Linked DNA regions of Saccharomyces cerevisiae S288C. The gene in region 1 interacts genetically with each later gene. Each region holds a gene or a part of one and is shown on either strand. Other genes may lie near its edges.

What was found. Genes that interact genetically often act in the same process or in processes that back each other up.
Region 2: mutations in ERV29 (region 1) and UBP1 together harm fitness more than expected from each alone (negative genetic interaction), as found in Saccharomyces cerevisiae (2 studies listed by BioGRID).

What each region holds. Positions count from the first base shown.
Region 1 is NC_001139.9:1,060,134-1,063,214, forward strand, and holds ERV29 (protein ERV29), read right to left. Parts: upstream 1,458-3,081; coding exon 525-1,457; downstream 1-524. Other genes in the region: ZUO1 (zuotin), read right to left, coding at 1,719-3,020. UniProt on the Saccharomyces cerevisiae protein: Constituent of COPII-coated endoplasmic reticulum-derived transport vesicles. Required for efficient transport of a subset of secretory proteins to the Golgi. The C-terminal di-lysine motif is required for exit from the endoplasmic reticulum.
Region 2 is NC_001136.10:240,739-245,546, reverse strand, and holds UBP1 (ubiquitin-specific protease UBP1), read right to left. Parts: upstream 2,996-4,808; coding exon 566-2,995; downstream 1-565. Other genes in the region: EXP1 (Exp1p), read left to right, coding at 1-414; SNA4 (Sna4p), read right to left, coding at 3,707-4,129; YDL124W (aldo-keto reductase superfamily protein), read right to left, coding at 4,350-4,808. UniProt on the Saccharomyces cerevisiae protein: Has an ATP-independent isopeptidase activity, cleaving at the C-terminus of the ubiquitin moiety in natural or engineered linear fusion proteins, irrespective of their size or the presence of an N-terminal extension to ubiquitin.

The DNA.
Region 1 (3,081 bases):
TGTTTTCAAGCGATGAGGTGGAAAAAATTTCAAATAATATGTTTGGGTGTGCCCATTATTGCGGTTTACAATAGTTGCTAAAGAGCTATTTATTAGGAATTTTTAAACTTTAGAGATTGCTTAAAGCGACTTTAAAGCGTTTCTTTGGAAAGATAGGAGAGCGGATGCTATCTCAAGAGCATCTCTTCAATGATTTAAGCAGTGACAGTGTAAAACAATTACGGACCAACGAAAATGGTCAAATCAAAACTAATTACAATAAATAAGTTCTATCATAATACAAGGGAATTCTGTGCGATATAACCACATTGATTGAAGGTAGAATATACAAGCCAACGTGAGACCAATCAAATTTCGTTAAGTGCGCCTATACAAAAAGAAATCTTTTATGTAGATATGACAGTAAGAAAAGTATATATGTGAGCTAGCAGGGTATTGAAAGCGATCACAAGAAGGCAAAACGAAATAGATTGTTAGAAGATGAGTGAACAGAAGGGACATAAAGAAAAGATTTCCTTTACAATCTAGTAAATCTTCTTCTTTTCATCAACGGATAATTCACCAGCGCCAGTATTAGTAACTAATAGAAGCCCACCAATGATGCTTAAGTTCTGGTAAAACTCATACTTCAAGAAATCTCTCTTAGTATTGTTATAAAACCAGTAGTTGTTTAGCGTGATATTGTAAAAAGTTAGTATCAAACCCAACATAATGGATGCGAATTTTGTCTTGTAACCAATGGCGAAACATATTGTGCCGATAATGGTCAAAACAACAGTAAACCATGATTTACTGAAAGTGAAAGCGATAAACATTAAAACAATTAAAATTCTACCAGCAAACAACAGGTAACCCTTCGCTTTGTCGTTTTTGCTGTTTAATTCAGGAAGCATACCGAATGTTGTCTTGTTTTGAACAATTGAATCGCTGAATGCAATTAACAACCCACCAATAACACTAAAGTTTCTTAGGACAAATGATGAACCCGTAAACAACCCATAAACTAATGCTTGAGAAATAACGCAAGCACATAACACACCGGTGGCATAATTGGTTTGCTTTCTTAAAACTAACAAACTGGCGCCAATCAACATGGAAACGGTAACAACCACTAGAAACACAACGACAAAGAAGTATGGGTAATGCTTCCACTTATTCAGATAAAAAATTTGATCTGACCATTGTGATAAGATCCTAAACGAATCTTCATAAAAGGTGGCCACAATGAAAAATCTTGACAAACTTGGAATGTAAGGCTTCAATTTATAAACAACTGCATTGTCAGTGAGCCCCTCAATTCTGGAGGCAAACTTTTCAAAAGAATGCTTCCATTGCTTTAAGATGCCAGAAGTGGATTGGTTCTGGTTTGATCTGAATTGTGCACCGCCAGAGTATGGTCCTTGCGATGATGACATTGGCATACCGCCAAAATTTCCAATAGGTCCTCTGTAAGACATTGATCTATCCTTTCAGTTTTGTTTTCACTTTTTTTGAGTCGTACTAATTGCAGCTATTGTAAGTAAATAAGGACACCTTTGATCTTTCGTTAAAGGTGTCCTTTATTTTTCGCCTTTCTCATTATTCCCTCTTCTCTCATCTTCTAGAAATACCTAAAAAGGGAACCGTTACCCGAACCTATTCATTATAGAAATAAAAGAGAACGTTCTCTATAATATTCGTATACATTCGTATATATTCTATTCCATTTCTTACGGTATTCACACGAAGTAGGACAACAAGCTGGATGGTAGTTTGCCAGAATCGACAATAGTCTTTGCAGATTCCTTCAAAACTTCCTTGGCACCAGCAGCATTGGCCTTGATCTTATCGGCGGTGGACACTAACTCTTCGTCATTCAAACTGTCAACGATCAAACCAACTTGTTCGTCAATCGTGGTGGCCTTGTCAGCATCACCAAAGTAGTCAGCTTCCTTAGCAGAGTTACGGATGGCTCTCTTGTTCTTTTTCTTGGCGGCCTTAGCAGCTTCCTTAGCCTTCTTTTTGTCAGCTTTTGCGGAGGCGTTAGCCTTGGCTTCAGATTCAGCTTTAGCCTTCGCTTCAGCTTCGGCCTTGGCCTTAGCTTCAGCTTCAGCTCTGGCACCGGCTTCTCTTTCCCATTTTCTTCTTTCCTTTTCCTTCTTCTCTTCTTCTTTGAACATTTTGATACGGGGATCTTCACTGACAGCTCTTTCAACAAGTTTGACCAATCTAGCGTTATCAGCAGTCTTCTTCTTGTCTCTTGCGGCCTTGTTCTTTCTTTCAATGTAACGCTTGTGGTCTCTGTTAGAAGAGTCATCTGGGACATCTTCGTCCAAGAACTCAAAGGTTCTCCAGGAGTCAAATCTGTGCCAGAAAGCATAGAATTGTTCAACTTCCTTCTTGGAAGAATCTTTGTTACCTAGAGAAGGAATAGGAGTCTTCTTAGAAAAACGAGCTTCAGCTTCGAAAACGGGGCCCCAAGCTTCATAAAAGTCATAATCGGTACCCTTCTTTGGAGGAGGAACATCGGCAACAAAATCACATGAGTCGTACTGAGCTCTCTTGTTGGAATCAGTCAAAGTTTCAAAGGCCTTTTGAATAATCTTGAAAAAGCCATCTTGGTCCAAACTACCACCAGCAGCAGATTGCTTGTCTGGATGGTACTTGACAACTTGTTTTCTGTGAGCCTTGATGATTTGACTTTCAGTAGCTCTGAAACGCAACTTAGACAAACCCATAGCAGCATACAAATCGGCAGTTTTCCAGTCTCTAGCATCATGAGTCAGTAAATCTTCATCGGCCAATTCAGTGTCGAATAACAACTCATCTGGGTCGACATTGGATTCATCAACGGTTTTGACGTTCTTTTCAGCTTCAATTCTTTCAAATTCAGACCAGGTGTGGTTTCTCAAAGTTCTTTGAGCATGTTGCAAAAAGAACTTACCAACCGGTTCGACCGGACGACGGACGAATGGGGTTTTGGTAGCGGAACTGTTGACTTCAACAGTGATGTCTGAGGTTAGGGTAGGTAAAGAAAACATCGTTACTCTTGTTGGTATATGTGAGACAAAACGAAGATTTTATAAAAGCATCGGTAGGAAA
Region 2 (4,808 bases), on another chromosome or scaffold:
GTGATTGCTTTCATTGCATTGTTGCCATTGTTTTCTGGCATCGGTACATTCAAACTAACAAAACCGAAATCGTCTGCAACAGCACAGTCAGCGACTGGTAAGCTTGGTAAGAGGGAATATTTGAAAAAAAAACTTGATCATACCAATGTATTAAAGTTTGATCTGAAGGACACGGAGGAAAGCCTTGGCCATGACAGTGCAAGTGCCTCTTCCGCTTCCAGAAAATTTGAAATAGACTCAAAGACAGGCCTTAAAAGACGTGTAATTGGACAGTACAACAAAGATCCAAATGATTTCGATTTCGATATTGATGACCTAATTAACGAAGATGAACTAGATGAACGGAGAGAAGAAGAGAAAAAGTTGAAGAAGTACAATGGTAAGAAAAATGAAGCTTACGAAGGATTTGTATAATAATGGAAGTGATTTTTGCAATTGTCCTACAAAAACTTTAGACATTCGTAACTAGCTAAACAATTGATTTAACGAATAACGTAGACTTTTAATTATTCAATTTAATTATAGTTATTGTTATTTACACAATTACGGATATCGTATTTATAACTTAGTTTACATCTTTACCAGAAATATCTCTATGGTCTTCTGTTCTCTCGAACTTCATCTGCTCTTGACCTTCCTCTTGCTCTTCACCTTCTCCTTGCTCTTGGCTTTCCTTTGGCTCCTGGACTCCTTTTTGCTCCTGCTCTTTTTCATCATCTTCTTCATTATTACTCTGAATAGCTTCCAAATCATCCTTCATCTTCCCAGTTTCTTCATCAAAGTCATATTCGTAAAATAACATAAATACACCGGGTGTTGAAAGGACTTCAGCTTCGTCCACAACGTACACAGTCTCATCAGATATTCTCCACCAACAACCCCTGTATTTTCTAAATGCAATGTAATGACCATAATTATGGGTACCGTAGTGAACAATGACAGAGCGCAATGAATATGTCAATGGAGTGGCTGGAACTGTGGAAAATGACCTAGCATAATTGATAGGTGGAGCTGGTATAACATCTTCCTCATCAGATGATGTTTCTAGTTGATCTTCAACATTGATCTTTGGTTCGTCAAGGCTCACATTGTCGATTTCTTGCAGTTCTTCATTATCTTTTACATTCTCGTTTTCAACATCAGAATGTTCTATGATCCTTTTTTTGATTGTATTCCCTAAAGCATCGGTTTCTTCAATGTACTCATCTTCATCATCGGATGTCACGCCATCGACTTCACCGTTTAGGGGATCATAGTTACTGATATCCTTGGTATGATTGTAATGAGACGCATAGTTCCCCTCTGCGTCATCGTATTCTTTTTCTTCCTCGCTGTCTTCAAATTCCTGCTCGAAGCGTTCATGTAATTTCGTATAGTATTCACCGCCAATGTTTTCATCTTCACTTGAATCTTGTTGCGCAGCTTTTTCCTTTTTTGACATTGGCAAACGAGCATCCAAATTGATTTCATTAATATCACAACACCATGGGGCAAGATTCAACCTTGACTTAAACAATACTTTCGAGTTATTTTTTCTAATCATGTACGTTCTTGGATCAAATACGGATCTGTTGATATGAATGGATAATAATGGTGGAGGTCTTGATATTAAAATCTGCTTAGATTTAGAGCATTTACGTACCATATTTGCTGTATGCAACTTCTTATAATCTTCATCGTCAATAACTGGTTTGGCAAGAACTTCTTCGATTTGATGGACCCTATCTTTTACAGCGTTAATTAACTTTTCTGGGATCGAACCCTCAGGTTTTTTTTCAAATTCTTTCAACTGACCAAATAAATGAGAGTGCGCTGCTGTGAGGGCACAACGGTTACATTCTACGCCTTCGATGATTTCAGGTTTACTCCAGTCGCTTAATAACTGAGATAATTTTAAAGTGGAACCAATATTCTCGTTCGGTAAATTTAAGCTTAATCCCGAAAATACGGAATATCTTATGCCACCGTTCTCACCACACTGTAAACAACCAATTCTTTCTGCCGTGATACCATCTAAAGGAGTCATTAGTTTGAAAGGTGTGAAATTTTGAATGGACTTGTCATGTAGTATAGAGTTAGGATCAATCTGTTCAGTTGGAATGTAAACAGTGCCAACTTCACCAAGGTTAAGTTGACCTACTAAAGCATCATCGGGTAATTCTGATTTCGCAACTGGAGTGGTATCTAGTTTTTCAGTATTCAATGATTTAACGTTACTTTCCAACTCGGCTAGTATGTTCTGGAAGAATTCTTGCGCGTCCTCTTGGTCGTAGCCAAGAAGAATATTTTTTCTTGGAGATTTGGACATTGCTTTCAATAAACTATTGGTTTTGAAATAGGGTTTATCCCGATAATACTTCGCATTTAAGGCAGAAAGTAGATCCCTTAAGGCGACACTGAAAGTGATATCTGGCTCCTGGCTCTTTTCTTCGTCTTCTTTCGAACTTGACTTCCTATTCAATTTCTTCTTATGCTTACCATAAACTTTGCCACCCTTACGAGTGTTTTTCTTATGAGTGGCTTCATCTTGAGCAGATTCTTGCCCGTTTCCTTCTTCATTGTGTTCATTTTGTTCTATCTCCTCATAGGTCCTTATGACATTATTGTCCAAGAACTCCATTAATTCTCTGGATGATGCCAATGATTGCAAAACAGAGTTCATAAAACAAGTGTTACCATCATTAACTAAACCAGCAATGAAACCACCTCTTTTCAAGATCTCTTCGTCTAAGTGGGTAAACTTACTTCTGGGCAACCAACGGCTAAGGCTATTATTATTTCTGAAGTTTGTTGTCATTTCACTAACGCTCTCAACAATGTAGTTTAGATGGTCTGGTTTTTTATAAAAAAATACTACTATGCCAAAAATTAATAAATAAATCGATAGATTGTTATTGTTGTTACTCCAAGTTTTAAAATTTCTCAAAAAATCCTGTCGGGAACCAAATAAAAATTGTAATAAACTGTTTATCTTGCTTTCAATAAACAAATCCATACAAAATTTTGTAGATTAAAAGGGGAGAAGTGTTCGAAAGTATCTAGTTTCGAACAAGGGAGGGCACTGAAGACGTAAAATGATCAGACGTTATAATGGAAAAGAAAGGAGAAGCGAATTTTGACAATCGCTTCTATTCTTTGAATGTGTATAAAATTTTTTTTTCCTGAGAAAAAAAAGGACGCAGATCACAATATTAAAAGCAATACTATGGCGTGCTTTTAAAGCAAAAAATGTTTCTGTTTTTTAAATATATAACCAATAATTATTGTATAATAGATTTAACTAGCCTGGCCATCTTGAAAATTTTGTGGTGCTAGTGAAAAATGTATTTTCGTTTTCCAATGATGGAAAAAGAAACTTGCCTACATAGATGTCATTCTGTACGTAAAGAGGAAAAGAAGGGATATAGCAGAATACACGTATGAAGGTAGGAAGGTTTCCAACAGGCGCTTACTGGTAGTATGATATATGGACATTCAGTGACGTTTATGGGAAAAACATTACGGCTTACAGATCCGCAAAATAGTTATAGGCTCGAGGGAGCTGGCGGTATTGATCGAAGAAGCTGTCAAAATGAAATACATTTCTTAATGGCAGCTCTTTTACTTTGACTGGCAAACCTCTTTGCTAAGGAAGATCATAGGAAAGAGAAGAACGGTCTTCGCTTGCTTGCTTGCTGGAATTTTCATTTTCCTTGCTGTAGCTTCATCATGGCACATAAGGAGGAGGAGACTCAACCAGAGACTGTTTGTTGTCATGGGGAGCTGCGCCTTGTAACAGAGGAGTTTCAACGCTCGGGTATACGTTTCTAGCGGAGCTTCCTTGTTGTGGGCGGTTTTGGGGGGTCTGCGAGTTTTGAGGACGATTCGAAGGAACGTTTCTTTCGCTATCCACCCAGCCTTGCTGGTAATAATAGACGTATTCAGCGTTCCTTAAAGGACTTGTAATTGTGATGTAGTAGAATGCGTGTAACATACCGGGCAAAAATCCCAGTAGCGTTAGCAATACATTCAGGAGGAAATCAGATGAACAAGGCCCAGATCGAAGAAGGACTGCAGCTGGGGGGAAAAAAAACGCAACAATATACAGTATAAAGTCAGAAACGGTACAACAAACACAGTAGCAACACATGATGCGCGTCCCTATCTGTCTCTGCTCAGTGTGGCACCTTTATTGGGGAGATGCCCTCTTCCGGTATTTTTTGATGGCCTTTTATATAATGTACAGCCCTTTTTTCTTCCTCGATGCTGAAAAGTGGCGGGATGGGTAACGGGGTGATAAACCTGACAAAAAAAGTCGATTAATAAAGTTATACAAAACAAATATGACTCGTACATAAATTATCCGGTATTTATACTTTTTGAGCAGCGTAGTTGTATTTACCGTACAATTTATTCCAATACAATCTTAGCGGTTCATGTTCCAAGCCCAACTCCGTTATCTTATCGACTTCCTCAGCCGTCAAGTCGAAAGAGAATAAATTTTGCGCGTCAGAAATTCTTTGAGGTTTGGAAGAGGTGGTTACAGGCAACACGCCACGTTTGGTCACCCAACGTAGGATAATTTGGGCTTCAGATTTGATATATTTCTCGGATAACTCTTTCACGTATTCGAAAAACGGTTGAGAGTCATCTTGTGCTGTTTTCTTTTGTAAGGGACCTAGTGGCGAGTATGCTTCTACCAATATATCATGTTCTTGGCAAAATTTGTAGATCCCTGGTGTTTGATTCTGCAAGAAGGGACTGAACTCAATTTGATTAACTTGGGGCTTGACTTCCGCAACTTTCAGAATTCTTTGCAAGTCTTCCAC